7 linked regions of the Mus musculus genome follow. The protein of the gene in region 5 purifies or fractionates together with the protein of the main gene of each other region. This does not show direct contact. Links are inferred from orthologs where the notes say so. Each region holds a gene or a part of one and is shown on either strand. Other genes may lie near its edges. The genes, in order: Tardbp, Hdac6, Stau1, Ubap2l, G3bp1, Trim21 and Atxn2l.

Region 1 (4,409 bases), on a different chromosome or scaffold from region 5:
GTAGCTCTGCCCTAACTCAAGACTTGGGCTAGCGCAGTTGGTATTTTTTGAGGAGGGAAAAAGAAGAGATGGAGTAAGAACACTGGCGTTAAAAGCATCTGTCGTGTTTTCGGTCTTCTGAGATCAGGGTTTGGGTGTCAGCACCCACGCAGCAGCTCACAACCATACAGTTTTAGTTTCAGAAGGTTGAATGCCCTTTTGCACCAGGTGCACACACAGTGTAGAGACACACATACAAAACATTAATAACACATAAGATATAAATCTTTAATAAAACACAAATCTTAAAAGGATGATACGCCAGGACGACACACAGAGAAACCCTGTCTCGAAAATCCAAAAAACGATGAGACAAAGATGATTTTTGAGGCTGCAAGGAAAAGCTGGGCAGTGGTGGTGCACACCTTCAAACCTAGCACTTGGGAGGCAGAGGCAGGTGGATTTCTGAGTTCGAGGCCAGCCTGATCTACAGGGTGAGTTCCAGGACAGTCAGGGCTATACAGAGAAACCCTGTCTCGGGAAGGGGAAGAGAGAAAAAACAAAACAAAACCAAAAACAAAACAACCCAAAAGACTGAAAAACCCCGTTTCAAAAAGCCAAATTCTTTTACAAAACAGATGCATCTTTAAGGCATTTAGGTTTCACCACCTAAAATTAGCAATGACCATGTTCTGCCAGCTTCACATTTAAATTCATGCTCCTCAAAAAAAGAATCCTGCTTTTCAATTTCCATTTACTTAAACTGCTGACCTGCCAGAGTAGTCTAAGTCTAAACAAAGTTTATGAAAAAGTTAGGGTCATAGGAAACATTCCTCCATAACGACCAAACCCTCAAGTTGGAGCTCAACAATAGACTATTCTCCCAGCACACATGAAGCCCTGGATATTATAGTCTCACTTAAATTAAGATGGCACGGAAGTCTAACCATGGCCAGCAATACAGCAAAACCAAAATGATTAACAAACCTTTGGGATAGTTGACAACATATACCAGATTGCCCCAGCCAGCATCTGGGGCATGCAGAATTCCTTCCACCAGTCGGACTCCTCTCATACACTGAGACACGGGATTCCGGTAGCGCAGGCCGCATGCCCCTGGAAACTGGGCTGTAACTGTGGACAGCAACACCGTCCCATCGTCTTCTGATGGTATTTCAATGGGTTCATCGTTCTCATCTTCTGTTACCCGAATATATTCAGACATCTTTGCTTAAATCTCTTAAAGGAAAAAGAAATGAGCAAGAAAATCAGAGGAGTTATCTTTTCATAATTGGCTATTATCACACCACTTTATTCCCACTTCCTGAAAAGATTCCTGCTACCTAAAATGTTTCTTTTGCCATCCCTGAAAAAAAAATAGAGAAAAGGTATTTTCTAAAATAAAAATGTGATTTTGGGGGCTGTTGAGATGGCTCAGTGGGTAAGAGCACCCGACTGCTCTTCAGAAGGTCCAGAGTTCAAATCCCAGCAACCACATGGTGGCTCACAACCATCCGCAACAAGATCTGACTCCCTCTTCTGGAGTGTCTGAAGACAGCTACAGTGTACTTACATATATTAATAAAATAAATCTTTAAAAAAAAATGTGATTTTTGTCGAGCACGATAACCCACGCCTTTAATCTCAGCACTCTTGAGGCAGGCAGATCTTTTTGAGTTCGAGGCTGGCCTAGTCTACTGAGTTCCGGGGCAGCCACAGGGAAAACCGGTGTTCATGTGGCGCTCTGCCCGCCAGTTCTATTTTCTCAGCGCACACTATAAGCTTCCGGTGCTAAAATGGCAACAGTGTTACCATGTGGCCCGTTGGCTACAAAGCCAGACAAAAACAAGGTGTTAAAGAACTAAGTATCTGCCCCGATTTTTTTTCTTGCACTCGTCATTTCTTACCTGGAGCGCACAGATTACAGGCTACCGTATTTCGTAACCATTCTGAATTAAGTTTCTTCTATAGCCTGGACCTGAATCGGGTTTAGCACGTGCTTTAACGTGGAAAAAACCAGCCAAGCATTGGGATCTGAGGAACCCTCCCTGTGCTGGTGGAGCACGAACACCGACATCAGAACAGTTATCTAGCAGTTCTGGTGCTCATCCTCGGAAAGGTCTGGCTAAAGTTAGGCGTCGAGGGAGCAACGACGGCTACTCCGGGAGGTAGGCCGCCGCTTCCCAGAAGGCCGTGCGCGACAGACAACGTTGATGATTTTCCCCCCCTTTCAACTGGGCCCAGGGTGGGGCCCGCGGAGGTCCAAGTCCCATGGTGACAACAGTTATTCTCAAAAGCGACAATCTACAGGGACTAGGACGCCTGGAAACCCGGGGCGGCCACACACTTCCGCCCGTGGCTTCACAGCCAAGCAGAGGCCCGGCGTCCCGCTCCGGCTACTGCCCGCGCTTAGGCCTTAACGACGCGGCTGCGCGAGGCCAACCAGGCCCCGCTCTACCGCTCCCTCCCCGCGGCGCAGGCCGCACCGGGCCTCTCCGAAGCAACACTCGAGGCACGCAGGCCGGCCTTGGCGACCAACCTACCCGCTAGGCCACTGCTAGGAAGCACAAGGAGGAAGCACAGACGGGAAGGAATCCGACAACAGCCGCGCTACCGCTCCGTGCCCACAAAATGGCGCTAGGGCCGCCTCCCGCCCTCGCCCGCCTTCGGCCTCTCCCACTGGCTTCCCTGCAGGAGGGGCGCTCTCCGAGGGAAGCCACAGGCGCTCTCTCCTCCCAGAGGCTCGGATGCTAGCAGGCTCTTCGGCGTATAGAAAAAAGTAAAGAAACGCAACAATGAAAACAGCTGGGTCTGAAAAACTGACAGATGAAGGACAGAACGGCCACTCGGCCTTCCGAGTCCCCCTACGTAACGCGGTAGATGGCTTCGCCTGACCAACGGCCGGCCCTAGTCGAGGAGCTCGCGCGCGCCGAGAATGCGCGAGACTAGCGCAGGCCGGGACTGGGGCGGCAGGGGCGGGGCTAGGAGGGAAAGGGGGCGGAGCCTGCGACTGAACGCGTAAGGGCTTGGGGGGGAATCCCTGGGAACCCTGGGTTCCTAGTCTAAAGGCGACTCTTAAATGTCTTCTGCCTTTGCTCGTTAATTTCCAACGTGGAAACATTAACTTTGATCTGCAAAATGGTCCCTGTTCTAAGTACTATTTTGTATCAAGTACCTTTTAGCACTCTCTGGCTCTAGGGGGAGAAAAACAAACCAGAATCTTGTGAATGGCAGGCAAGTGTCTTCCCATTGACCTTGGGCTTAGCCATCAGATACTGTTTTAGAGACAGGGATCTCAAAGTCACTGTGTAGCCCAGGCTGTCCTTTAACTCATCAAGGCTGCCAAGTGTGGATGCTGCCCTAGCAGTCTACACGATAGTCGTGATACTCTCTCCTCTTTCAATAAGTGAAGAAACTGAGGCACAGAGTTGAGTACCTTGCATGAAGTCACCATGAGAAAGAGGCCCCACTAGGGTCTGAATCCTACAGCAAAAAACTACTTGGATGTTTCAGTATTTCGGTTCCAGTTGACGAGTCCTAGTATAACTTTAAAAAGGCTGAAGGCTAGCTCTACCACCAAGCAGCAGATGTAGACTCTTTACTCAGGGTTGGAATTTCTTGGTGTATCAGATTCAAAGCTTAGGCACAAAGGTTTTACACAGTTGCTTTATTTACTGAAACTGGGTCTTGCTGTACAGAACAGGCTGGCCTTGAGCTTGCTGGGTTCCTCCTGCCTCTGCCTCCCTTCTGGGAGGAATGGGGTAGGATTGCAGATCACCATCAGGCCAAGCCTTCCCACTTTAAGTTTATAAATGAATTCATTTCCTCCTCACAGCTACCTTGTAAGAAGATGGCATTGGAAGAACAGATGTTAATGTCTAGCCCCTAACTTCCATTAGAGCCCAGGCTGGCCAGGAACTCCTGGCCTGTCCTCCTGCCTCAACCATCTGAGTGCTGGGATTATAGGCATGAGTCCTTCCACCCAGCATTATTTACTTTTTGGTTTTGAACTTAACAAACAAACAAACAAAACAGGATTTCTGCGTAGTCTTTGGCTGGCTTAGAACTTACTGTGTAGACCAGGCTGGCCTCAGATTTGCTATGCCTTTCCTGAATCTGCGCCTTCAGTGTTGGGATTACAGGTGTGAGTCACCAAAATGGTTTTTTGTTTGTCTCCTAAGACAAGGTTTCATACAGCAGAGCCTGGGCCTGGCCTCCTGACTGTCCGGGATTACAGACCTGTGCTACCATGCCTGGAAAAGTCAAGAACTTTAACAGTAGTTTAAAAGGATGATTGCATTTTTTTTTTTTGATTTTTTTTTTTTTTTTTTTTTTTTTTTTTGGTTTTTCGAGAAAAGGTTTCTCTGTGTAGCCCTGGCTGTCGTGGAACTCACTTTGTAGACCAGGCTGGCTTCAAACTCAGAAATCCG
Region 2 (3,853 bases), on a different chromosome or scaffold from region 5:
AGCCGTGCTAGAAGAGGAGGAGGAGGAAGGTGGCTGGGAGGCCACTGCACTGCCCATGGATACATGGCCACTGCTCCAGAACCGCACTGGGCTGGTCTATGATGAGAAGATGATGAGTCACTGCAACCTCTGGGACAAGTGTGTGCTCAGAGGGCTGGGGTGGGTGGTGTTTGGGTCACTCTCCTCAGTCACTAAACCCTTGGCTCTGCTTCTCCACACTGTTAGTCATCACCCTGAGACACCTCAGCGCATCTTACGCATCATGTGTCACCTGGAGGAGGTGGGCCTTGCGGCTCGCTGTCTCATCCTACCTGCTCGGCCTGCCCTGGACTCTGAGCTCCTTACCTGCCACAGGTCAGACCCCGTGCTGGGGGGAGGCCGGCTGTAGGATTCTAGGGATGTTCCAGGAGTAGGGCCTAGGGCTCTCCAAGATGGGTGGAGCCACCTAGACAGGTTCAAGTTCTTATGTGAGGACAAGCTGGCGACTCTTGTTCCTCTGCATCACCAGTGCTGAGTACGTGGAGCATCTCCGCACCACAGAAAAGATGAAAACCCGGGATCTGCACCGTGAAGGTGCCAACTTTGACTCCATCTACATCTGCCCCAGCACCTTTGCCTGCGCAAAGCTTGCCACAGGCGCTGCCTGCCGCCTGGTGGAAGCTGTGCTCTCGGGAGAGGTGCGTCTTCTCTGTGTGCTAGTGAAGTTTAGCTGAAGAAATGAGGTCCTGGGAACATAGAGAGGGACTACCTGCTCCCACTCAGGAGGCCAGAGGCAATAGGAGAGTCTGCTGGGAGGGGAACCACGGAGTGGATGGCCGAGTGGATGGCGGACAGGAGAAAGGGAAGCCTGGGAAAGATGAAAAGAGAGTGAGGGCCAGAGGCAGTCTCGCTGCTCCTCCCTACAGGTTCTAAATGGCATTGCAGTAGTGCGCCCTCCAGGACACCACGCGGAGCCAAATGCTGCCTGTGGTTTCTGCTTTTTCAACTCAGTAGCTGTAGCTGCTCGCCATGCCCAGATCATTGCTGGACGTGCCCTGCGGTAAGGCCTGCCCCCCCAGAGACCCCCAAAACCCGATCTTTGCAGGGATCTGGCTACTCTTTCCATTCAGTCTTACTTGGCAGACCCATGGTCACCCCTGGGAGCTTACACAGAAACAAGCAAAGGTCCACTGGGCAGCACTTGACTACAAAAGCCCCAGGACGGGTGTGTTAAGTGCCATGGCATCTAGATGCTTAATAAACTAGGATCCAGGGTATCACACCAGCATTCCTGAACAGGTTATCCCAACAGAACCCATGCCTGGGCTCCTAGCATTAGAAGAGTCCCTAGCCTTAATTACTTGTTCAGGTCCATAGTTCAGGAAGCCAAGGTTGGACCTTCATTCTTAGAATAATAGCAGTGCTTTCTCATTAACTCCATGGTCCTGTTGCCCAGCAACAAGTGCTTCCAAAGACCCTAGAAATCTAGCAGTGGCCCACTCCTAGGCCTTACTGTCCCAAGGTGCTAAAAAGGGCTATCTCCCTCCCCAGGATCCTAATCGTGGATTGGGATGTTCATCATGGTAATGGAACTCAGCACATATTTGAGGATGACCCTAGGTGAGTGATGGGACTGTGGGTAAGAGTATGGTGTGAGAGGATGCTGAAGCATCCTGCAGGGATGTTCATAGCCTCTAACCTGCTGTGGCCCCTTTCTCATCCCACCCTCTCCCTGGCAGTGTATTATACGTGTCCCTGCACCGGTATGACCGTGGCACTTTCTTCCCCATGGGGGATGAGGGTGCCAGTAGCCAAGTAGGCCGAGATGCAGGTATAGGCTTCACTGTCAATGTGCCCTGGAATGGGCCCCGCATGGGTGATGCTGATTACCTGGCTGCATGGCATCGTCTGGTACTTCCCATCGCCTATGAGGTAAGGCTCAGGTTATTATATAACATTGCTGTATCTGGCAGCACACATCTGCCTCCTTGACGTGTGTTTTGACTACCAGGTGACTAATCCTATGATGGCTATTGGGACAGGGTGGTGGGGATGGCCTTATGTATCTGTCTGCCTATGCATATATGGGTGCCTGTGAGTGGCCTATCTCTGTGACATTTTACACGTAAACAACTGTCTTGGCTCTGTGTATATATGCATGTGTGTGCCTTCTGATTCTGTCTGCTCTTCTGAGTGCATGGCTGTAAGGGTATCCCTAAGAGATACTGTTGTGGAATTGTGTAGAATAGAAGCATAAGATTAAATACATTATGGATATGTCTATGTAATGTTATATAGTGGCTGTCATCTCCTTTCTGTGTGTGATAAGTGTGATAGTGTATGTCATTAAATGCTGCTGTCTTGTGATAGCCTAAGAAAGACTCTGAATATGGAAGGCCGTAGTGACATTGTCACCCACACCCGTCTAACTGGGTCCACGTGTCTATATATGAATCTCGCTGGCTGCTTTGACTCAGGGGTGACCTAGCTGTGTGTGAGCTAAGGACAGGGCCAATGGCGTGTGTGTGTGTGTGTGTGTGTGTGTGTGTGTGTGTGTGTGTGTGTGATAATGCACTGAGGACACAACTCTGCAAGCCTGAACATCGGGCTCTGCTTTTACATCTGCATGCATGTGACTATGCACAGGCGACAGAGGCTACCCTTTATGTGTATGTGTAACTGCATGCAAGCGATAGCCTGCTGTGGGCATTGTAACTGTGCATCTTTGTGACTGTGCAGGGGTGGCTGTGTATTATCGTCCCATGAGAAACCCAAGCGTAAGTGGTGGGATTTGCAGCCCTATCAATATGAACCTGTCTGGTTGGGAGTGGAAGTGTATGACACTTTTATTTGTCTATAGTCTGTGTATAAAAGCCTGTATCATGTGAATGTGGGTCCCGTATTTGACCCTTGTATGTGAGAGAGAGGTTATGTCTCTGTTTCTCTTGTCACTATCTCCTGCCTTCCAAGTCTCCATGTTCTTTCTGTGAGCCATATCTATGTCATAACTCTATATCTTGCCTTCTGTCAACTTAGAGTATCTCCCAAGAGATTTTTGCCCATATATGTGTGTGTGTGTGTGTGTGTGTGTGTGTGTGTGTGTGTGTGTACCACATGTCTGCTTCATGACTGTGGAAGCCAGAAAAGGGAATCTGATCCCCTGGGACTGGAGTGAGACAGTTGTGAGCTGCCATATAGGTGCTAGGAATTGAACCCTAGTCCTGTTTCCACAGCCAGCGCTCTTAACAGCTGAGCCATCTCTCCAGCCTCTCTCCCAGTGTCTTGAGTTTCTGGCGGGTATACTCTTGTCTCTTTCCAGGCCTGCCATGTCTTGTTTCTCCTTGTGTCCCTGTCTTCCACTCCTGCTTTTCAGATGTCAGGTTTCTCTCCCTCCCTCCCTCCCTCCCTCCCTCCCTCCCTCCCTCCCTCCCTCCCTCCCTCCCTCCCTCTCTCTCTCTCTCTCTCTCTCTCTCTCTCTCTCTCTCTCTCTTTGGTTTTTCGAGACAGGGTTTCTCTTTATAGCCCTATAGCCCTAGCTGTCCTGGAACTCACTGTAGATGTTGGGTCTCACATCATCTGGGTTTTGACTTGAATTCGGATGCCTTCGTTTGCCCTTGCTCCTCCCATCACTTATTGCCTCCTCAAGCCTCAGGGCATCTTCTCTTCTCTCCTTACTGCAGTTTAACCCAGAACTGGTGCTGATCTCAGCTGGCTTTGATGCTGCACAAGGGGATCCGCTGGGGGGCTGCCAAGTAACACCGGAGGGTTATGCCCACCTCACCCACCTACTGATGGGCCTTGCTGGTGGCCGTATTATTCTTATTCTAGAGGTAACTCTTTTGATGTCCCTTCCATGGTGGGAGGGCCATTTGGA
Region 3 (3,853 bases), on a different chromosome or scaffold from region 5:
ACTAAATTGAATTCCCAACAACCACATGAAGGCTCACAACCATTTGTACAACTACAGTATACTCATATTCATAAAATAAATCTTTTTTTAAAATGTGGGTTATGCCATGACAATAATCTTTCGAGCTGTTTTGGTTTGTGAAGGTTTGTGAATTAGATGACCTAAGAGAGCAAATTAGAAGATGAGTAGTGTGTGTATTTCTGTGAGTGTGTATACACATGTGTGCAGATGTGTGTGCTGTGTATAGAGTTCAGAAGACAGCACTGGGATTTCTCATGAAATTTTCCACCTATTCCTTAGAGGTAGGACCTCTTCCTAAAATGTGGGCTCATGTTTTCTCAGCTAGGTTGGAAGACAGCAGTCCTGTTAGAGCCGGGGTAGCAGACATGTGTGGGACCTTGCTGTGTCAATGTAGGGATCTGAATTCTAGTCTTTATGATTAGACAGCAAGTGCTCTTACTGCTGAGCCCTATCTCCAGTCTTAGTCTGTATTTTCTCAAGTCATCAATTCTGAGGTTAAAGTTCCCTGTTGATGTATATGAAAATGAAACTGGGTTTCCTGTCATCTGTGACCATGGTTCAGCCCCACTGTAATGTTAGGTTGGAGATATCTGGATGTTTTCTGGTCCTCATTTGCCTCCTCTAGACATCCACTTCCCTCAACTTACCCAGGTTTTTCCCGTGATTCTGTACACTGTGTGGATTCTTGGATTTCCTGATGGATGTCCAGGGGTAGAGTGCTTGGCTGTTAGCATCAGTGTCCAGGGCCTGAACCATCCTTTGTATGATTTTGTGTTGCAGAAAGTATAGCTTCTACCATTGAGCTCAATGCACTGTGTGTGAAACTGGAAAGAAAACCAATGTATAAGCCCGTGGACCCTCACTCTCGGATGCAGTCCACCTACAGCTATGGCATGCGTGGAGGTGCCTATCCCCCCAGGTATGTGCTTGGGGTGGAATTAGTTGGGTTTTTCCCTAAAGTAGTCTCTATGAATTGTGAATGATTTGGTCTGCCTCAGGTTCACCTCTGGACTTAAGGTGTGCCTTTGGTACTGTGCTGGGACTGTTGAAGCCTACTGCCTTTGCAGAGGGCCCAAGCAGGTTGCTCAGGAGCAGCTGCATTCACACCCATGGTCTGGCTACGTTGTTTCCTCAGCACATGCTCCTGAAAGTCTTCTCTGACATTGTGCTTTGTGCAACGCTGAGACTAAGTAATAGTGCTCAGAAGGGTCAGAGCCTAAAGTGGCTGCAGATGGCCTATAACCCTAGAGTTCCAGAGGTGGAAGCAGAAAGAGTATCTGCTAAGTAGAAGCCAGGCCAGCCTGGGCTACATAAACTCTTGTTGTATGTTCAAACCTTTGCTTCAGGAGTGAGACATTAGTGAACAGATCAGTGATGGAGGCAGCTGTTTCATTTTCCACCCATCCTCTGATGAGGTGCAGGAGGGCAAAACCTCAAAAATACAGGTTTTGAAGTAGAAGGAACCAGACTCTTTTGGACTTGGTGCTGCTGAGATTTCCAAAATGAGGGTCATTTCCAAAAGACGTCACCCTTAAAATTCCCAGACTCTTTGAGAGATGTGCAAGTGCACACTGAAGGCTTGAGAAAGGAAAGCAAGCTAAGTTTGTCTCGGCCAGCACCTGCGTTCATTCAGGCACTGTCAGTATGGCCTATTGTGGAGCATCAGATGCGTACATAGCATGTGTCAGCTACTAGAGTAAGTGTGACTCTAGCGCTCTGCTTAGTCACAGTGTGGCAGCTGTAGATCATATGAGTTTTAGGGCAGCTTTTGTAGAGCTGACCAGGAGGTCTTTCTAGCTATGAGCACGGTGACAAGGCCAGAGTACACAAAGAGTGGGGTTTGCTGAAGAAAGTATGGCTGACTTAGGAGATGGAGACTGAGACCCTACCCTTGTGTTTGTAGATACTTTTACCCATTTCCAGTCCCACCTTTACTCTACCAAGTTGAGCTCTCCGTGGGCGGACAGCAGTTTAATGGGAAAGGAAAGATGAGACCACCCGTGAAACACGATGCCCCTGCCCGTGCGCTGAGGACTCTGCAGAGTGAACCCCTGCCAGAAAGGTTGGAGGTAAGGTGGACGCGAGCTTGAGACACCTCACTGACTTCCAAGGTGCTGCTGCTGTCTGTACTACTGGGTAATTAATCCAGATTCTGTCACTGGGAAAGTGTCCCCTAAATGTCTCAGCAGGAAAGCAAATGGCCTTTCCTTTTCCCCTGGCAATGGAGTGTAGAGCACATGGTGGGTGTGGGAAGGCCGGGGCTCTTGAGTTGTGAGTGTCGGATTCTCAGTGCTGACACCTATGCTCTTGGAGCTGCTGATTGGTGTTCTTTTTGTTTTTTGTTTTTCCTGTGTAGCTCTGGCTGGCCTAAACTCACAATGTAAACCAAACTGGCCTTGAACTCACAGAGCTCTGCCTGCCTTTGCCTCTTGAGTGCTGAAATCAAACCTGTGAGCCACCACGCCCAGCTAGAAGCCATGATTTGTGGTGCTAAATTAAGAGTATTTGTGACCTTCAGCCCACCACCATTTTCTGTAGAAATGCTTTTAGTCTTTTGTTAGCACGTTATCCTAGAACATGGTGCATGTATTTTACTCAAAGATCTGCAGCTTGAGCAGGGCTAGATGTGGCGGCTTGCTGGCAGAGGAAGCTCACCAGGACGTCACCAGCTTGGGAGGACTTAGTAGAAAAATGGCTCCTCCTGACAGGGCACCGTAGTTTCTGGGTAGTGTCCCTCTTACAGGGGCTGTTGGTACCTCCTCACAGTTTGGTGACTGCATCTCAAGAATGAGAATCCTTATAGACAGGAAAAGGAAGCCAGTTATTAAAGCCAATTCTCTGAACCCACAGCCTGGCTTCTGTCATGGTTTCTAGGTTAGGCAGTCCCAGAGCTAAAGGAAGGAGATAAGGAGACTCACCTTTGTGTGTTCTTTTATTAAAGACCACATTAGATGAACTCTCAACTCTAGTACAAGCATTATCCAGTGGCTTCTAGGGCACTCACAGTGTGGAAAAGAAGGTGTTGAAGAATTTGGAACTTTTTGTTTGTTTTAGCTACTGCTAAAGGTTAATGCTAATATTATTAGCCATGGGTTGTGATTTAAAACTACAGGGTAGAAAAGGAATCTTACAGGTTTTTTTGTGTTTGTTTGTTTTTTTTTTTTTGTTTTCCTGTGCCTGGAGAGTAAGTAATTTTTAAAAAAAAAATTTATTTATTTATTTTATGCATATGAGTACACTGAAGCTGTACAGATGGTTGTGAGCCTTCATGTGGTTGTTGGGAATTGAATTTTAGGACTTCTGCTCACTCTGGCCCAAAGATTGATTTATTATTATAAGTAAGTACACTGTAGCTGTCTTCAGACACACCAGAAGAGGGCGTCAGATCCCATTACAGATGGCTGTGAGCCACCATGTGGTTGCTGGGATTTGAACTCAGGACCTCTGGAAGAGCAGTCAGTGCTCTTAATCACTGAGCCATCTCTCCAGCCTGAGTAAGTAATTCCTAGGATGACTGTTGGTAGTTGCTTGACCAGCTTCATGCCAGTGAGAGACTTATCTCCAGGGTGGATGCAGCCTATGGATGGCACCAGCTGGCATGGCTCCCTCATAGACAGTCAAATTTCAAACCAAACTTTGTAGGTCTTCAGCTTTCTAAGGCACTTGGAGGGAAGATTAGCTTTAAGAACTAGCCAAGGAAAGCAGCCATGCAGCCATAAGGGACAGGGAGAGGTGGCTGTTTAGGAGGCTGAGGTAGCACTGTCCCTTGGGTCCAGCTTGGGCAGGGCGGCAAGCACATGAAGAAGAGAAGGCCAGAGCTCTGCTGTTGAGG
Region 4 (3,853 bases), on a different chromosome or scaffold from region 5:
GGAACCCCAGGGTCTCAGAGGGTATTGGGCAAGTATAGTACATAGACATGGATGTGGACAAAAGTCTGTGTGCATAAAATAAATACTTGTTTGTTTTTAAGAAAATGCCCTAAAGACTTGCCAACAATCAGAGACATTTTCTCAACTGAGGTTCTTCCCAAATAACTCTAGCTTGTGTCAAGTAAACAAATTTATGTGGCAAGAATCTTTATGCACTGAGAGCCATTTTGCTAGCTGGAGTTCTTGAATCTTGAAGGTCTTATTACTAGTATTAGTATAGGACATTTCCTTGGAATGTATCAATGTCACTGGCTCATAACTTGTGTTTCTTCTTGCAGATCTGAAGAGTGCAAATGATTCAACAGTGCACAGTCCTTTTACAAAGCGCCAGGCATTCACCCCATCTTCAACCATGATGGAGGTATTCCTTCAGGAGAAGCCACCTGCAGTGGCTACCTCGACAGCTGCACCACCTCCCCCGTCTTCTCCTCTGCCAAGCAAATCCACCTCGGCTCCACAGATGTCTCCGGGGTCTTCAGACAACCAGTCCTCCAGCCCTCAGCCGGCTCAGCAGAAACTGAAACAGCAAAAGAAGAAAACCTCCTTGACGTCTAAGGTACTTGAGCTTCTTAGGGAGATGCTGTTTTAAGGCAGGGAGGTTATGGTATTTCAGGATGAGATAGTCTAAGGGTTTATTTGGAAATTTAAACTTGAAAGGAATAATTTTATTTCTACAAAAAGATTGTATTAAACGTTTACATATTTTTTTCCTACCTTTTTCATAGATTCCTGCTCTGGCTGTGGAGATGCCTGGCTCAGCAGATATCTCAGGGCTAAATCTACAGTTTGGGGCATTGCAGTTTGGGTCAGAGCCTGTCCTTTCTGATTATGAGTCCACCCCCACCACGAGCGCCTCCTCAAGCCAGGCTCCTAGTAGCCTGTATACCAGCACGGCCAGGTAGAGGAATCATCACCCAGAAGACCTCTTTTGGTAGCTTAGTTTTGTGCTTACTTCTTCTCCTCTGGAGAGGCCATATTTCTGACTGGATAAAAGTAGTCAATCATAGCATTTTGTTGTGTGCTTTTAAAGAAATACGTTGTTACTAGGATTATCTATGATTTAAAACATTTAGATAAATGCCATTTAGATACTTCTAGAATGTCTTAAGCTCAGTTTGTTTGTTTGTTTTGTTTTGTTTGTATGTGCAGACATACACGTGCATCTGGAGGCCCGGGGTCAATATCAGGTGTCTTTCTCAAAAATCACTCTCTACTTCATTTTCTGAATCAGCATCTCTCACTGAACCTGGAGCTCACTAGACCAATTTGGATAGCCAATAAGCTCCACGAAACTTATTGTCTCCATTTCCCCAGTGTACTAAGATCATAAATGTCTTCTTCCCAGATTTTATGTAGGTGTTCAGTATCAGTTCATGCCTTCATTGTTACATGGCTAATGCTGTACTAACTGAGCCATCTCCCTAGCTTCTCAAGGTTTGTTTGATTCTGACGGTACCTTGACATCTCCTGCAGTGAAAAGTGCTTTATTTGTTGTGGGACTATGTTTGTGAAAAGTAAAAATAGGAACTCAGTAAAAACATTAAAATTAAAAAAAAAAAAAGCCATAAAAATAAATGAACCTTTTCTGTCTTCTGGTAGTTACCAAGGAAAGCCATCTTATGCATAGATAATCAATTTTTCCTTAATGAGGTATCTGGCTTTAGTCTAGATCAGATTAGTTGAGTCATAATTGCCACTGATGCCTAAAAAGATTTTATATAAAAAAAATTTTTTTCTGGACTGTTGTGGCTCATGGGAGTAGGGGAAATGTGTGAGATGAGAGCAAATGCTGTGTTACAGAAACTAGTGATAATCTGCTATTGAAATAAAACCATTTCGGGTAAGAAACTTCAGAAAGACAGGCTGGGCGTGCTGGTACCCCAGTCCTAGCACTCAGGAGGTTCAAAGCCAGCCAGGGCTAGTGACAACCTCCCCCAAAGGGAAATGCTGGAGAAATGACCTGGTGGTTAAGTTCCTTGTTGACCATGTACACAACTTGATTTTCAGAATCCACATGATACATAGGCATACATGTGAACAAAACACTGGTATACATTAAATCTTAAATTTTTTGTTTTGTTTTTTGATTTTTCAAGACAGACTTTCACTGTGTAGCCCTGACTGTCCTAAACCTCATTCTGTAGGCCTCCATTCAGGCATCTGCCTGCCTCCCAAGTGCTGGAATGAAAGGTGTGCACCACCACTGCCAAGAGTTTCTTTGAAGCATAATTCAAAAAATGTTTTCCCCACTCTGGGAAATTCTACCAGTGATGAAACTGATCAATAGATGATTTTTCTTGTGCCAGGGTTTCATGGTGTGATGTGGAGGGGTGCATTGAGTTCTTTACTCTCCCAAGTGCCTGATTTTTAAACATTTCTCCTTGTTAATTAATTGACAGTATTTTATTCCAATAGACGATCATCATTTCCTAAGACATTTTTCTTTTCCACAGTGAGTCTTCATCTACAGTTTCATCTAATCAGAGTCAGGAGTCTGGTTATCAGAGTGGCCCGATTCAGTCGACAACTTATACCTCCCAAAATAATGCTCAGGGCCCTCTATATGAACAGAGATCCACACAGACGCGGCGGTATCCCAGCTCCATCTCTTCATCACCCCAAAAGGACCTGACTCAGGCTAAGGTAGTAGTTTAATGATTCCCTGGGCCTTGGTTAGCAAAGTAGTGGGTAAAAGTCCCTCTAATATAGTTTCACTTTTCTGGAAATGGTGCTACAGTCTTGGAGGTGCCAACTGAGATGCTGACAAAAGCACATTTCTGTGATTGGTAAACTAAACATTATTTTCAGCAAATGTGGAGGACCCTCAAGATTCAGAACATTTCTCTTTGCAATAAAGATTTGTTGGTTATGGCAAAAACTGTCTCAAATACCTGTCCTTTCCTCATAGAAGATCAGATTGCTAACCTTCGGGGTGCATATATATTAGTAAATCTACGTTACTCTGGTAAAAGGGATAACATATACCTAAGATGGTCTGAAGTACCTGTCTAGCAGGATGGGTCCTAAGAATTGTTTTATTTTAAACTATTTGGTGGGGGTAGTGGCTGTGTGCATATGAGTGCTGGTACCCTAAGAAGCCAGAGACATCAGAATCCCTGGAGTGGAGTTACAGGTGGTTGTGAGCTGTCTAATATATGCGATAGGAATTGAACTCAGGTGCTCTTTGTGTGTAATCCATGCTTTTAACTGTTGAGCCATCTTTCCAGGTTCCCTAAAATATATTTGACCAAAATTAAATTAAGTGACTGATAACATCTCTCTTACAAGCTTGTCTGTTCTTGCTTTTTTTTTTTTCTCCTCTCCAGAATGGTTTTAGCTCTGTGCAGGCCACGCAGTTACAGACCACGCAATCTGTTGAAGGTAAGCATTTTCCAGGCTTTTTCTTCTTGGTTTTAGTGGCTTTCCTCAACATTGATGTAGAGTTGTTCGTTTTTTTGGAAGGTAGGAAGGACCCTGTTGTGTAGACCAAGCTGGCCTCAAATTCACAAGAGATTTGCCCACTTCTGCCTCCCAAGTGTTGAAATTAAAGACATGTGCCACTGTGCTCAGCTGTGTGTGTGTGTACACAGTAGTCAGCTTTTAACTTCTCTATCTTCTGAGGTCTTTTTGTTTTGCTTTGTTTTATGTGTATGGGCATTGGCCTGTGTGAGTGTCTATGTACCAAGTATGTGCCCAGGGTCAGATACCCTGAAACTGGTTGCAGATACCATGTGGATTGTTGGAAATCTGGGTCCTCTGGAAGAATTGAGTGCTCTTAACTGCTGAGCCATCT
Region 5 (3,853 bases):
GCAGCTTTCTTGCCCTTCTCTCTGGAGAAGGCACAGCAGATGCCATCCCTCATCATCCACCTGTGGTACCTTCAGAAACCCAACTACAGACAAGCATCATGAATGGAACCATCAGCTAGTGGGGCTTGATCAGGGCCAGGGTCAACACAAGGACATAAACCATGCATGCCATGCCCACACCAAAACAGGCCAGCATGAAGGGTTCCCACTAACAAGACCCAGGACATGAGGATATGTTAAACAATTATTAATGAATCATAACTCAGTAAATATACTAGAAATGAATGGTAGGGTAAGGGGATCCTTATAAGATAATGCCAATAAATGAACACAAGAGTGGTGGATAGTATCAGACATTCCCATCTGTCACCATTCAGCCAAGAACCTCAAATGAAAAAGAATTATGGTATGCAAAACTGATAAAGAGCAGCACGTTTATACAGGATCCCAAGATTAGTCACAATTTATAAACCAGATACAACAACTATGTGACTTTACAATGGCAAGACCTGAACATATCACCTAGGGGAACCAGAGACACTTCTAGTACCATGGTCACTAAGGATGAGTGAGGAAGGTATATGATGCGTGGACAATGACACAGGACTGCTCTTCAGAACTGTCGATGCCAAGCAAACCAGAGGAGGGAGGGACTACAATGACAGGGAACAAGACACACGGCCAGACAAACACAACAGAGAACTACATACAGAATCCCAGATCAAGAAAAACAAACTATGCAAGACAAGGCCAGCTACTTTCTGAAACTCAGGCATGGTTACCGCATGAGCTATATATATACCGAGCACTGTTCTCTAAATGTGGTGACAACAGGGTGATTAGGAAACAGATCCCTTGTCCTTAGGTGATGCCAGCCGAAGGGACACGAAGTCTCCTGCATTTCAACAGTTTAGGGGAGGCTCCTCCCAACAGTCATCTTCCTGAAGATTACAGTGAGGGCACCACAGCTTTAGGACAAGAGGACAGAGCAGCTCTACCCTGCAGCCATACCTATAACCCTGAGCTGCCAGGAATCTGGACTCCACACAGCTTTTAGTCTTTAAGTACTCCATCACTACAGAGCAACATACCTCAGGAGCAAGGACAAAGGTCTGCATGAACCTCCGCAGAGCCTGGTTGTTGTTGGACAGTAGCCCCATCACTTGGACCACCACCCCGTCATTCAGAGTTGCGTGAGCATCCACGTGGCGGATCTTGGTGTGGCAGTTGGTGAAGTTTTGTGACATCACTTTCCTGTGGATTTCCTGAGGAATGGAGGCAAGAGTCAATCCCCCAGGAACTCACCAGTTCAGAAACTAAAACAGCAGTTGCCAGCACCAAGAACAGACTGGCAGATCCTCCAAGCTCCGCCCTGTTTTCTCACAGATGTGTACTTGACACTCAGCCCTGCTTCCTCCTGCTCCTTCGCACAGTGGTTGAGCAGTCTCCAAGCAATCTGAAGAGCTATACAACAAGTACACTGAAGGGCAGAGACCTGCTACGCTCACACCAGCTCATCTCCACTCAGCGTGACAAGACCTAGAATCACCTAGGAAACACTCTGCTGGGACAGCAGCATTGCACAGGCGAGACCTTTGTGCTGTACAAAAGGGGACCTGAGCACCAGCATTCACCTTGTGTCCCTACTACCTCGCCTTTCTCACGTGGACTGTGAGCCTGAATGCCCTGCATCCTGCCTAAGTTGCTTCTGTCAGGTATTTGTCTCAACAATGAGACAATAAAGTAACACAAAAATCTAGTTAAAAAAATAAATCCCAGGTGGCTTAGCAGGTAAGGGCACCTGCTATAGGGCCTGATAATCCAGAATGTTATCTTTGGGGCCTATACGGTGGAAGCAAAGAACTCCTGACAAGGTATCCTCTGACCTCCACAAGCATACCACTCAGTCACACTCACCCACAAACCAATATATGTGAACACTTCAGAGCTGGAGAGGACCTAAGCTCAGTTCCCAGCATCCAGCTCCTAAGGATCCAAAGCTCTCTTCCGGCCTCCTCAGGGACTCAGCACACACATGGTGCAGACATGGATGCTAGCAAAACACTCACACACATAAATACATCTGTAAACAAATTTTAAAAAATAAAAATGTCCAACACAGCATATAGAGAATACATGTATTACTGTTATAATATAGTCCAGCTGTCAGTGGGTGTGTGCTGTAGTTCCAGTGATCACAGCTTAGCGCCTTAAAAACAACTGTCCTGCCACTTTTATATGTAATCTAAGCACTTGAGAAACTGAGTCAGGGGAATATCCAGACATACATAGCAAGTTCCAGAATAGCAAAAAACTTGAATCATGTCTCAAAAAATAAAATAATTAGCCGGGCACACGCCTTTAATCCCAGCACTCGGGAGGCAGAGGCAGGCTGATTTCTGAGTTTGAGGCCAGCCTGGTCTACAAAGTGAGTTCCAGGACAGCCAGAGCTATACAGAGAAACCCTGTCTCGAAAAACCAATAAAATAAAATAAAATAAAATAAAATAAAATAATCAAATAAGTGCCTTGAATACACACCTTTTAAGTTTAAACATGGCACTCTTCTGCTGAAGCCAGCAATCTAACACAGAATCAAAGTAACCTGACAACACACAGAGTGTTCAGCAAACCAAAGAATTAAACAGAAACCCACCCCTAGGTACCAGCTTCCCAGTAGGCAGGGAGCTGCCTTCTTTGCTGCTACTGGTCCACAGCACCCACCTTCTGCCCGTAGACTGCATCTGCTGGCTTCCCGTTGGAATCCAAGCCCCCGTGGGCATAGGAAGAGTTCTTTCCATAAAATCTGTACAAGAGAAGGCAATTTACTTCTCATCTTCAAGGACCCGGAGTGCAGGTACTTAGTGTTCAGGCTTGGTACCTATCCGCCTCACTGGCAGACTCACAGCGGGGACTGTTTATGTTTGTGCACGACAAGTCCATTGCACACGCCCGAGTGGGGACAGTCTCAGTCAATGAGGCATGAGGCATGTGTGTGGTTTTCAAGTCCCGACTTCCAAGTTTCAGGGTAGGTAGGATGATCATGTTGGGAAGGGCCTTGGAGTTTGTCAGCAAAGTCAGGCACTTAAAATCAAAGTCAAGTTCCTGTTTCCACTGAGGACAGACAGCTGCCCTGTCACGGACCTGAAGAGTCGGTGCCTTCCCACCTGAGAAGGCAGTGGGACAGTTGTCCTGTGCACAGGTGGTATAAATATTTATCCCTTTAGCCCTCTCTCATCTATGCACTCAATCACCATTTTCATTAAAAGAACATCAGAGAGATGTTCTTTAACAGCAAAATGCCAACCAAAGACCACTGAAGACATCTAAGGACAACTCCATAAACCCTTAAGAGAGCCCATGCTAGCGCTGTGGATCTGTATCCTGCTTCCATCTACCTTACCAAAGCACACTAACTTGCTACTTTTCTTTTTTTTCAAGACAGGTTTTCTGTGTAGCCCTGGTTGTCCTGGAACTCATTCTGTAGACCAGGCTGGCCTGGAACTCACAGAGATCCACCTACTTCTGGCTCCTGAGTGCAGGAATTAAAGGTGTGCACCAGTGCACACAGCACCTTATAATTTTCAAGCTATTAAAGGAACTCACTTCAGCAGCTTCTACTCTCTCCTCCAGGACCCTCTACAACTGCACCCTTGATGGACATGGAAATGGCAGAAGTCTTAGGCTATAACCGCATCAGTGAGACAGGCCTGTGTGCAGGGCCTTCCAGCTCCAGTTTAGACTTATGCTGATGCAGAGCCTGACACCACAACCTTAACTAACTTTCAATACGAGAAAGAAAACTGACACAAAACCCAGCAAGAAAAGGGAAAAGGAAGAGGTTAAAGACATGC
Region 6 (4,380 bases), on a different chromosome or scaffold from region 5:
TAGAGCATAAGACCTGTTCCCATACCCATTGATACCCTGGGTGGAAAGCAGTGGTCCCAGGAAAACAGTCTTTGCCATCTTGGGAGGGTCAAGTTTTTGCTACTCATTTGGGGTCTGTGATTGGCTGTGAGCCTCTCATTCCTACCCAGTTTCAGATGCATTTCATTTTCTACCAGCAAATTCTCACTGTGACAGGCTTTAGGTCCCTAGCAGGCTTTGGACTAATAACTTGCTCACCATCAAGCAGCCACCAGGTCAGGTGGACTTCCTATCACAGACCCAAGAAACTAATGTTGACTATGCTGTTCCCTGAGACAGGGTCAGAAGGAATGACGAAACCTTAAACTTTCTCCAGAAATTCTTGATATTTGTGCCAGATTGGGGAAAATCCCATCTGATTTTAAGCTTCCTTCTTTCCTCTTCCCTCCCTCCCTTCTGCCTCCCTTCATCCCTGACTCTCTTCTATCCCTCCCTCCTTCCTTTCCTTCTCTCTTTCCTTCTCCTCTCTTCCTTCCTTTCTTTCAATTCCTCTCTATCTGGAGTCACAGTGTGTGGATGGGTCTTGGAGAGTGACCTATATAATAACTCTACCGCCCCTTGGATAGGCACAGTCATGGTTAAGGCTTGCTTGAGGTCAAGACCTGGGACACAGCCCAGCCTACAGCTCTTGCCTTCCAGTCTGTTCTTTGCATCGTGAGATCCATTTCCATCTTCTCGGCCAACTCTTTCCCCTTTCTCAGTTTTTCTAAAGCCACGTGGATCTTCTCCTGTAGAAAAAGATGGCAGGTTAGTCCCCAGGTTGGAGGAGGCAGATGGAAAGACTATGGAAGAAATCTAGTATGTCTTAACAAAAACAGAGTTACACCAATGGGTAACGGGATCTGGGCCACTGCATTTCTAATGTACCCGGGAGCCACGAGGAAGCACGATGCATGACTCCTTTCCCATGGCTTTGCCTCTGCTGCTGAGAAATAAAGTTGTATTCCATACACAAGCTCCTCTCAATGAAGGGAGAAATTATCCCTTCATCCCCCAACTTCTCAGCCACCATTCTGGGGGACAAAGTGGCTATGTTCTTTAGTCTGTGCTAAGGCCTTACCTGGTATACCTTAGCAGCCTCTTCAATAGGGACCCTGGTGTGGTCCCGGTGTTTCCCAGACTGGGCACACACCCAGCAAAGGGCCTGCCCATCTTCCTCACAGAATAGGTGAAGCTTCTCTCCATGCTTCATGCAGTGCGTTTCCTGGGTACTCTTCTTGGTATTCTGGGCTATCTGTTTAAGGTTTTCCACCATGTTGGCTATATGTCTATTGGGCCTGAGGTTTCGGAGCAGAAACTGTTGCCGGCACTCGGGACATGAACTGCCCCCATTCTTCCCAACTTCAAAAATGCATTCCTTGCAAAAGCAATGGCCACATTCGATACTCATAGGCTCCACCATGGGATCCAGGCAGATAGAACAGGTGACCTCCTCCCACATCTTTTCCAGAGACATTTTTGAGGTTGTAGAGGGTGATATCTGCCGTGGAATCTTGAGAGATGCAGAGGGGCGAAGAGATAAAAATGAGAGTTTGTAGGACAAAAGCAAAAGCAAGGCAAACCCCAAACTCCCCCAAATAATGCCAAGGTGGACAAGCGATGACACAGGAGGGAAAGGCAGAAGGCAAAAGCACCAACCTGAATGACAGGAGCCTCTCCTCCGGCCTCACCCACTGAGCAAGCCAGGCAGAAGGGGAAACCGAGTTTCTAGAAGAGACAGAGAAAACTGGTGGGGGTAACGCTGCTAACAGCTCCACCGTCACCACACCCATCCCTGCTTAACCCTCACTGTCTAGGCGTCTCCCATTTCCTTTCTGTCATCTTATGCCTCTACTGCCCAGAGACGTCAGTCATGGCAGTAACGACCATTTACCATATCACCACAGACCCTCCATATTCCAACCAGAGTTAGCTCATACTAGTCTTCATTAATCTTGGCAGAAACCACAGGGGTCAGGCATTAGGAGTCAAGGTTTATGCAGCTATACATCATAGTAGACATTTTGTCAAATATGACAGGCTGCACATATGGTGGTTGTGCAATAGGCAACACAATGCAGCCTAGGTGTGTCATTAGCGACCCCACTCAGGTTCATGTAAGATGTCATTCATTATCCGGAGTACATTGTCTAAGAGTATATGGCCCAGTTATAAGAGTTGCATGTGTGTATATGCATGTTTTTATATATGTATGTACACATATATTGATGTTTTTATATGCAAACTATACTTGTGCACAAATGCATCAATGTAGGCGTGCCCATATGTTCCCCTCTATAAATGTCTATGTACATAACATGCAGGTGTGCTCACCGGTGAACATTTTTGGGGAGCACTCCCTGGGCTCTTCTCTAAGCTGCTCCAAACCTAGTCTCAACTTCCTTTAGGGTGTGGAGTATCTTAAATCCACAGAAATTTCTACATGGATAGCACTCTCCTCAAGCAGGGATCTTCAAGGGGTAAGGGTTTCCCTGAGCTCCCCTCTGGCCTAGGTCACCACCCTGCTTCTCCTGCCCTTGCTAGGACTGTCGTCTCAGCTAGTCCAGGGCACTAGGAAAGTCACTTTCAGAGCCCAGCTTCCACAGGCCAGCATGGGCAGCTCTGCAGGGCTAGGACAAGACAACTCTGATGAAAAGAAGCAGCAGGTGGGTTCGCAAATTCCCGAGTGTGGGGTGCTGATGGGAAGAGGCTCCTTGAATCTGGTGTGGGGATAAAGAGCCCACCTAGGCCGGCCAGGGGTCCCAGTCTCACTCACCTAACCAGGGTCCTCAGCTTTAGTTATGTGCTCCCAGCTTCGCTTTTGCAAGCCTGCAGTCCAAATTTCACTTTCAGTTTCCTCTCAGAGGCAGGTCTAGCAGGAAGAGGGAGGAGCAAGGGGAGGAGTGAGGAGTTGAGTGGCAAGAGGAGGTTAGAGGCAGAGAAGGCGGAGGCTGGGCGGAGACTGGGCAGAGACAGGGCAGAGAGTGGGAGGAGAGAGGTCAGAGGTGCAAGAAACTGACTCCTGGCCACAGGCAGGGAAAAAACTCAGTACCTGTCCTCCTGGGTCTCTCTAAGGCCCCCTTGTCCCCTTTAACAGAATGTAATCTACAGGATATCGATCTTTGACACTGGTCTTTTCTTCTTACCTGGGAGCTTCTGAGAGAAGAGGTCTGAATGGGAGAGGGAGGAGTCACCATCTGTTTCCTACAGGGATGGATAGCTTCCCCCAAGACTGATCCCGCCACCGTCACTGTTTTTTATTAGTATATATTAATTGTACAGAGTACTTGAAGTATACCCATTTCCCACCACTCTGTTGTGTGATTTTGCTCTTTTCAAATAGTTTGGGGCTAGAAATTTATTCTTTATGATGTCAAGGTATGTGTTGTACCAGTGAAGGGAGTTAAGACTTATGGACAATTGATATTGTATTATAACTTGCGCTAAAAACAGCAGTGGAATTTTCCTCGCTATTTATTATATTTAGGAAACAAAACCATTCTGTGATTTGAAATTTCTAGTCCTGTTTAAGAGATCTCTCTTAGTGAAAGGCCGCCAGGCAACATCTACTGTCTAGATTGTGCTGTTGTACTGGGGCTTGGTTCCTGGAGCACAACAGTCCTAGAAAGCAGAATGAAAAAGAGTCAAGCATCCGAAAGGACGAAGACATCTATAAACATCAGAAAACGACTCTGCTTCTACCACGGAAGGTCTGCTGCTATTTCCTGCAGGCAAAGAACTTGGGTCCCAAAATAAGGCAGAGGGTAGAGTCAATGTCTATTTTGCTATTCACCACCAGAGGATGCTCTGTTTCAGTTTACACACTGGATAGAGAGATTAATGCACACCCTAGGGGTGTGCTGATATATACTCTATAATGTGCACACAGGACTACTAACATATTGTACTCAGAGCTGCCTCAGCTCCCACCTTGGTAATTGTTTGAAGACCCCACCTACTGAAGACCCAAACTCCCTTCACTCACAGATAGTACTTTGATATTTCAAACTTCCCTCTCCCTGACAAAATGACCCAAGTCTTTATTTGGGAAGAATTAATGCTATTGATATTATTGTCTAGCACATTATTAGTGTGTTGGTGAAGTGAGATGTTTATACTTTGGGTTTTAATCATATTCTCTACTAACTTGAGTGTGTATTGGCAACCCAAGTTGTCCCTGGTGATATGCAAGTACATTTTGTCCAGGACAGGAAAAGCTTCTTCTACTTATTTCTAATTTAGTGACTTAAGAAGCCCCCAAAAATATGGAAGCAGAAGGAGGACCAGTTGGAAACAAGAAAGGACCAACGGGTGTGGGAGAGGGACAAGAAAGGATGACGGGTGTGGTGGCGCACGCCTTTA
Region 7 (3,853 bases), on a different chromosome or scaffold from region 5:
ACAAGCTCGCTCATGCCACTTCTCTACTGGAGAATGACCCAGCTCTTTTCAAGCCCTCTTCCAGCCACCCATTCCTGGGTCAACCACTCAGACCTCCCAACCAAACCCCACATTCAGGCACCTGAACGGGACTGGGGGCCGCATGCTGGGATTGTGGCTGGCTCCCAGTAGGTGTGGTGGCCGGCTGCGGCTGGTGGCCATGGAGCTGCGTGGCATGGTGTGGATAGGATTGGTGAACAGTGGCTGCAGCAGGAAAGAAGGGAGACCGAGTGCTGAGCACACCAAATGGATACATATATCCTGGTGACAAAGTGGGCACCACAACTCACCATAGAGGGCTTGGGGGGTAGGCTGCTCTGCAGCAGGGTACTGAGGAGTGGAGGACGACACGATGGCCTGGGGATGGCTTCCCGATGTCAACATTCGTGGATTACTTTGAAGCATAGGGGCGAACACCGGCTAAAGAAACAAAACAAAATGCTAAGCAGACCTGCTTGGAACGTCCTGTCAGCTTCCATGTGCATAGGAGCATGAGCCTCAGTAGTGGTTTTAAAGACAGTAACCACCTTAATTCAGAGGGAAAACCCGAGAGCAAAGGTTCAATGTCCTGTTACAGGAATTCAAGTGGACACTGCCAACCCCACAGCCACCACTACTCAAAATAACCCTGCTTCCCCCCATCAGGTTGGATTTCAGGTGTTCGTTACCTGTGAAGGGTAGTGTGCCATGGGCTGCATCATGGCAGGCTGGCCTGGGAACTGCTGTGGGTTGTAGGGGATGTAGGAGGAATAGGGTGTGGCAGCCACCAGGGGTGGGCCAGCAGCAGCAGCAGCAGCCTGCATCATTGGAGGGGCTGAGGCTGGTTGGTGTTGGTCAGAGCGCTGAGGAGGAAGTGAGCCTGTGGGTGGAGAGTAAACAGTACAAAGCTCAAGCAGCGTTAGCCAAAAGGTACTAGGCAGTCCCAGCTCTTCTTCCCAACCCTGCTCACCTTTTGCACCCCGGTACTTGCCCTGCTGCCCAGGCACGGAATTGGATACAGGATATGGATACATCTGAGGCGCCTGAGAAAGATCTGGGGCTCAGCAGGTGCTCAGAACAGCCTGAGCTGGACAATCAGCACTTTTCTTGGGCTCACTCTCTCCTACCTGTACAGCTGGTCCCATGTGGATCTGAGGTATATATGAGATGTACTGGGGACTGTAGAGCCCACTCTGGCCTGCTGTCAGCACCGGTATAGAAGGTGTTGAATGAGTACGGGGCCCTGGTGAAGTTGGAGTACTGGTAGATTTGTTCTGTAAGAGACAAGAGGAGATATTTCTGTAATCCCACTTCAGCCTTTTTAAATCCACCTGTGTCAAATATATCCTACACTTTCCCTAAGCGCTTCATAGCAAATCACAAGATGGACATTCACAAACTAAGAGAGCTCTAAGTGGTTGTGTGAAATCTCGAAGCCCCATGAGTACATCAGTTAAAGCCACGTCAGCTGATTCCTTGGAGCTCATAATCCTAACCCTCACACACCCAACACACCAAATAGTAAGACCTAAAGTAACTTGTCAGAATCAATAAGCAGCCTTCATCACTCAGCCCTGGAGATGTCACTGTTTTTCCCAAAGCAGTCCAACTAACTGCTCCTGCCCAGACTGACAGTGCCATCTCACACTATGGGACAGCACGCTATCCTGACAGTCAAGTCCTCTCCTGGAGTACTGCTCTACTGTCCCCTCAAGGAGACCCAAGTCTACAAGAAATAGTCCCAGCTTACCACAGACAGCAGAGGTTTTGTTGGATTGAACTCCTTGGCGTTGGGGTTCAAAGTAGACTTCTTCACTTGTCTGTAGAGAATGTAAACCAACTGAGTCGTGCCCTTCCCCAGCGGGTAAGCACCAAAGATCTTCACACCACCCACCACTAGCACTACTTACTCAGTAACAGGGCCCTCCTCTTTCTCATCCCCCTTGATGAGGCCCACTGGAGGACTGCCGGTTTGGCTGGGACAAGGTGCTGGGAGCTGCTCTGGCCCCTCAGTCCCTCCTACTCCTGCCATGGGCACTTTGTCTTCCTTATCCAATATGGATTCTGTCTTAGAGGAGACTGGGGATCCCATAGGATCTGAAGTCAATAGACCATCCACCTCTTTCTCCTTTCCTTTGGCCTCTTCTTTCAAGATCCGGGAAGGAAATGGATCCAGGCCCGTCTCAGGGGAGCTACTAGGTTGAAGCTGAGAAGAAATAATTCACATATTACAGTGTGCACTCCAGACCCGGGCTTTTACCTCCTCCATTCACTCTTGCTGAACTCATCGCTCCCATTCACTTTGCCTGTGCCTTACACATCCCACAGCTCCCACAGCTTAAATCCCAGCTCCTTCCCATGCTTCACTCACCTTAAACTGGGCCCCAAATTTTCTCAGTTCTTCCAACTGAAATCGTTTTTGTTCATTCTGAAGGCCAGGGACTGAGAAAAAAACAGAGAAATGAGAAAATACGTTTTTTTCCCCCTCTGAGGAGTCACACAGGGCTAGTTAGTAATCCAGAAATAAGAAACCAAAGAATGAGCTGTTAAGAATCTTAAAAGATAAACGAGGGCTGGAGAGATGGCTCAGCAGTTAAGAGCACTGACTGCTCTTCCAGAGGTCCGGAGTTCAAATCCCAGCAACCACATGGTGGCTCACAACCATCTGTAATGGGATCCAATGCCCTCTTCAGGTGTGTCTGTATTCATATACATAAAATAAATCTTAAACAAACAAACAAACAGATAAATGAAATCGAAGGGCAAATGGACACTACACTGCTTCCAAAGGGAAACGCTCCCTCGAGTAAATGGGACTACAGAGTAAAGTTGCCCTCACCTTTCCCAGCTATGCGGGCCAGTTCTTGGGCTTCCAAATTCCTACTGGGCTCCTTGGTTGGGAGTTCTTTTACTGAAGAAAAAGAGGCAATTAGATCCTGCTCTCAAGTCATACCCACAGTTCTCCAGCATTTACAACCGGTTCTCACCATCTGTAGGGGTCAGGGAGAGTTTTGGAGATGCCGGGGAAATAGAGCCTGCACCAGGATCCACAACTGATGATGTCACAGGGATGGAGGCAGAGGACGCCACTGCCGAACCAATGGGAGGCTCAGGACAGGAAGCTGAGACTGGGGCAGGGGCAGCAGACTTGGGAGACCGTGGAGGGTACATCCGGCCCACTGGAAGAAAAGGGAGAGCTACACGATAGTTATTGCTGGCCAGGAAGTAGTGCATATAGGGGGAAAACCCATAGAAAATTTACAAGCTTTTTTTCACCTAGAGGCACAATTTCCTGTGTTAAGCCCAGGGCAGGTAAGTAACACAAAGGCAATGGTTTCTCTGGGTAGTTCAAAAAGACTGGAAGTGGTATAACTTCTCCTGTTCTAAAATGCTGGTTAAAAAAAAAAGTCTCAACAAAACACCTGATAACCAGCTACAACCCATAAACTGACATGTTAGAACCAAAGAAAACTAGAGTTCTTTCTCAAAAAGATTACATTAAATCCAGCTGAATGTCTTTAACCCCAGCACTTGGGAGGCAGAGGTAGCTGTACCTCTTAAGTTCAAGGCCAGTCAGCCTGGCCTACAGAGTTCCAGGACAGCCAGGGCTACACAGAGAAACTCTGACTTGAAAAAGACAAAAACAAAACAACAAAAAAAAACTGGAATGATAAAATCCAAGACCCTGCCCGACACCAAGCATCTACAAACTACCGCCCAGCATTTCAACAACTTGACTCAGTTACTACTGCCTACCTCCACAAACTACCCAAGCCTGCAGCCAGCCTCACTGAAGCTCTCTACCTGCAGATGTTGGAGGAACAGAAGCTTCTCC

What was found.
Region 1: the proteins of G3bp1 (region 5) and Tardbp purify together in Homo sapiens (affinity purification with mass spectrometry; 3 studies listed by BioGRID, with this or other methods). This does not show direct contact. The link is inferred for Mus musculus from reciprocal best matches to the Homo sapiens genes G3BP1 and TARDBP.
Region 2: the proteins of G3bp1 (region 5) and Hdac6 purify together in Homo sapiens (affinity purification with western blotting; 4 studies listed by BioGRID, with this or other methods). This does not show direct contact. The link is inferred for Mus musculus from reciprocal best matches to the Homo sapiens genes G3BP1 and HDAC6.
Region 3: the proteins of G3bp1 (region 5) and Stau1 purify together in Homo sapiens (affinity purification with mass spectrometry; 3 studies listed by BioGRID and IntAct, with this or other methods). This does not show direct contact. The link is inferred for Mus musculus from reciprocal best matches to the Homo sapiens genes G3BP1 and STAU1.
Region 4: the proteins of G3bp1 (region 5) and Ubap2l purify together in Homo sapiens (affinity purification with western blotting; 6 studies listed by BioGRID and IntAct, with this or other methods). This does not show direct contact. The link is inferred for Mus musculus from reciprocal best matches to the Homo sapiens genes G3BP1 and UBAP2L.
Region 6: the proteins of G3bp1 (region 5) and Trim21 purify together in Homo sapiens (affinity purification with mass spectrometry; 3 studies listed by BioGRID, with this or other methods). This does not show direct contact. The link is inferred for Mus musculus from reciprocal best matches to the Homo sapiens genes G3BP1 and TRIM21.
Region 7: the proteins of G3bp1 (region 5) and Atxn2l purify together in Homo sapiens (affinity purification with mass spectrometry; 4 studies listed by BioGRID and IntAct, with this or other methods). This does not show direct contact. The link is inferred for Mus musculus from reciprocal best matches to the Homo sapiens genes G3BP1 and ATXN2L.

Annotation. Positions count from the first base shown.
Region 1 is NC_000070.6:148,624,159-148,628,567, forward strand, and holds the start of Tardbp (TAR DNA-binding protein 43), read right to left. Parts: upstream 2,839-4,409; 5' UTR 2,523-2,838; intron 1,219-2,522; 5' UTR 1,205-1,218; coding exon 967-1,204; intron 1-966. UniProt on the Homo sapiens protein: RNA-binding protein that is involved in various steps of RNA biogenesis and processing.
Region 2 is NC_000086.7:7,934,128-7,937,980, reverse strand, and holds part of Hdac6 (histone deacetylase 6), read left to right. Parts: coding exon 1-138; intron 139-225; coding exon 226-354; intron 355-508; coding exon 509-677; intron 678-905; coding exon 906-1,039; intron 1,040-1,530; coding exon 1,531-1,599; intron 1,600-1,718; coding exon 1,719-1,911; intron 1,912-3,659; coding exon 3,660-3,809; intron 3,810-3,853.
Region 3 is NC_000068.7:166,961,666-166,965,518, reverse strand, and holds part of Stau1 (double-stranded RNA-binding protein Staufen homolog 1), read left to right. Parts: intron 1-801; 5' UTR 802-860; coding exon 861-940; intron 941-1,924; coding exon 1,925-2,090; intron 2,091-3,853. UniProt on the Homo sapiens protein: Binds double-stranded RNA (regardless of the sequence) and tubulin.
Region 4 is NC_000069.6:90,018,002-90,021,854, reverse strand, and holds part of Ubap2l (ubiquitin-associated protein 2-like), read left to right. Parts: intron 1-338; coding exon 339-616; intron 617-785; coding exon 786-958; intron 959-2,513; coding exon 2,514-2,703; intron 2,704-3,386; coding exon 3,387-3,441; intron 3,442-3,853. UniProt on the Homo sapiens protein: Recruits the ubiquitination machinery to RNA polymerase II for polyubiquitination, removal and degradation, when the transcription-coupled nucleotide excision repair (TC-NER) machinery fails to resolve DNA damage.
Region 5 is NC_000077.6:55,486,431-55,490,283, reverse strand, and holds part of G3bp1 (ras GTPase-activating protein-binding protein 1), read right to left. Parts: intron 3,167-3,853; exon of another isoform or gene 2,806-3,166; coding exon 2,724-2,805; intron 1,266-2,723; coding exon 1,092-1,265; intron 1-1,091. UniProt on the Homo sapiens protein: Protein involved in various processes, such as stress granule formation and innate immunity. Plays an essential role in stress granule formation.
Region 6 is NC_000073.6:102,562,595-102,566,974, forward strand, and holds the start of Trim21 (E3 ubiquitin-protein ligase TRIM21), read right to left. Parts: upstream 2,889-4,380; 5' UTR 2,795-2,888; intron 1,747-2,794; 5' UTR 1,678-1,746; intron 1,532-1,677; 5' UTR 1,496-1,531; coding exon 1,100-1,495; intron 768-1,099; coding exon 672-767; intron 1-671. UniProt on the Homo sapiens protein: E3 ubiquitin-protein ligase whose activity is dependent on E2 enzymes, UBE2D1, UBE2D2, UBE2E1 and UBE2E2.
Region 7 is NC_000073.6:126,493,432-126,497,284, forward strand, and holds part of Atxn2l (ataxin-2-like protein), read right to left. Parts: coding exon 3,823-3,853; exon of another isoform or gene 3,775-3,822; intron 3,216-3,774; coding exon of another isoform or gene 3,198-3,215; coding exon 3,006-3,197; intron 2,930-3,005; coding exon 2,858-2,929; intron 2,461-2,857; coding exon 2,390-2,460; intron 2,225-2,389; coding exon 1,929-2,224; intron 1,839-1,928; coding exon 1,769-1,838; intron 1,293-1,768; coding exon 1,146-1,292; intron 1,062-1,145; coding exon 989-1,061; intron 899-988; coding exon 708-898; intron 460-707; coding exon 330-459; intron 244-329; coding exon 122-243; intron 1-121. UniProt on the Homo sapiens protein: Involved in the regulation of stress granule and P-body formation.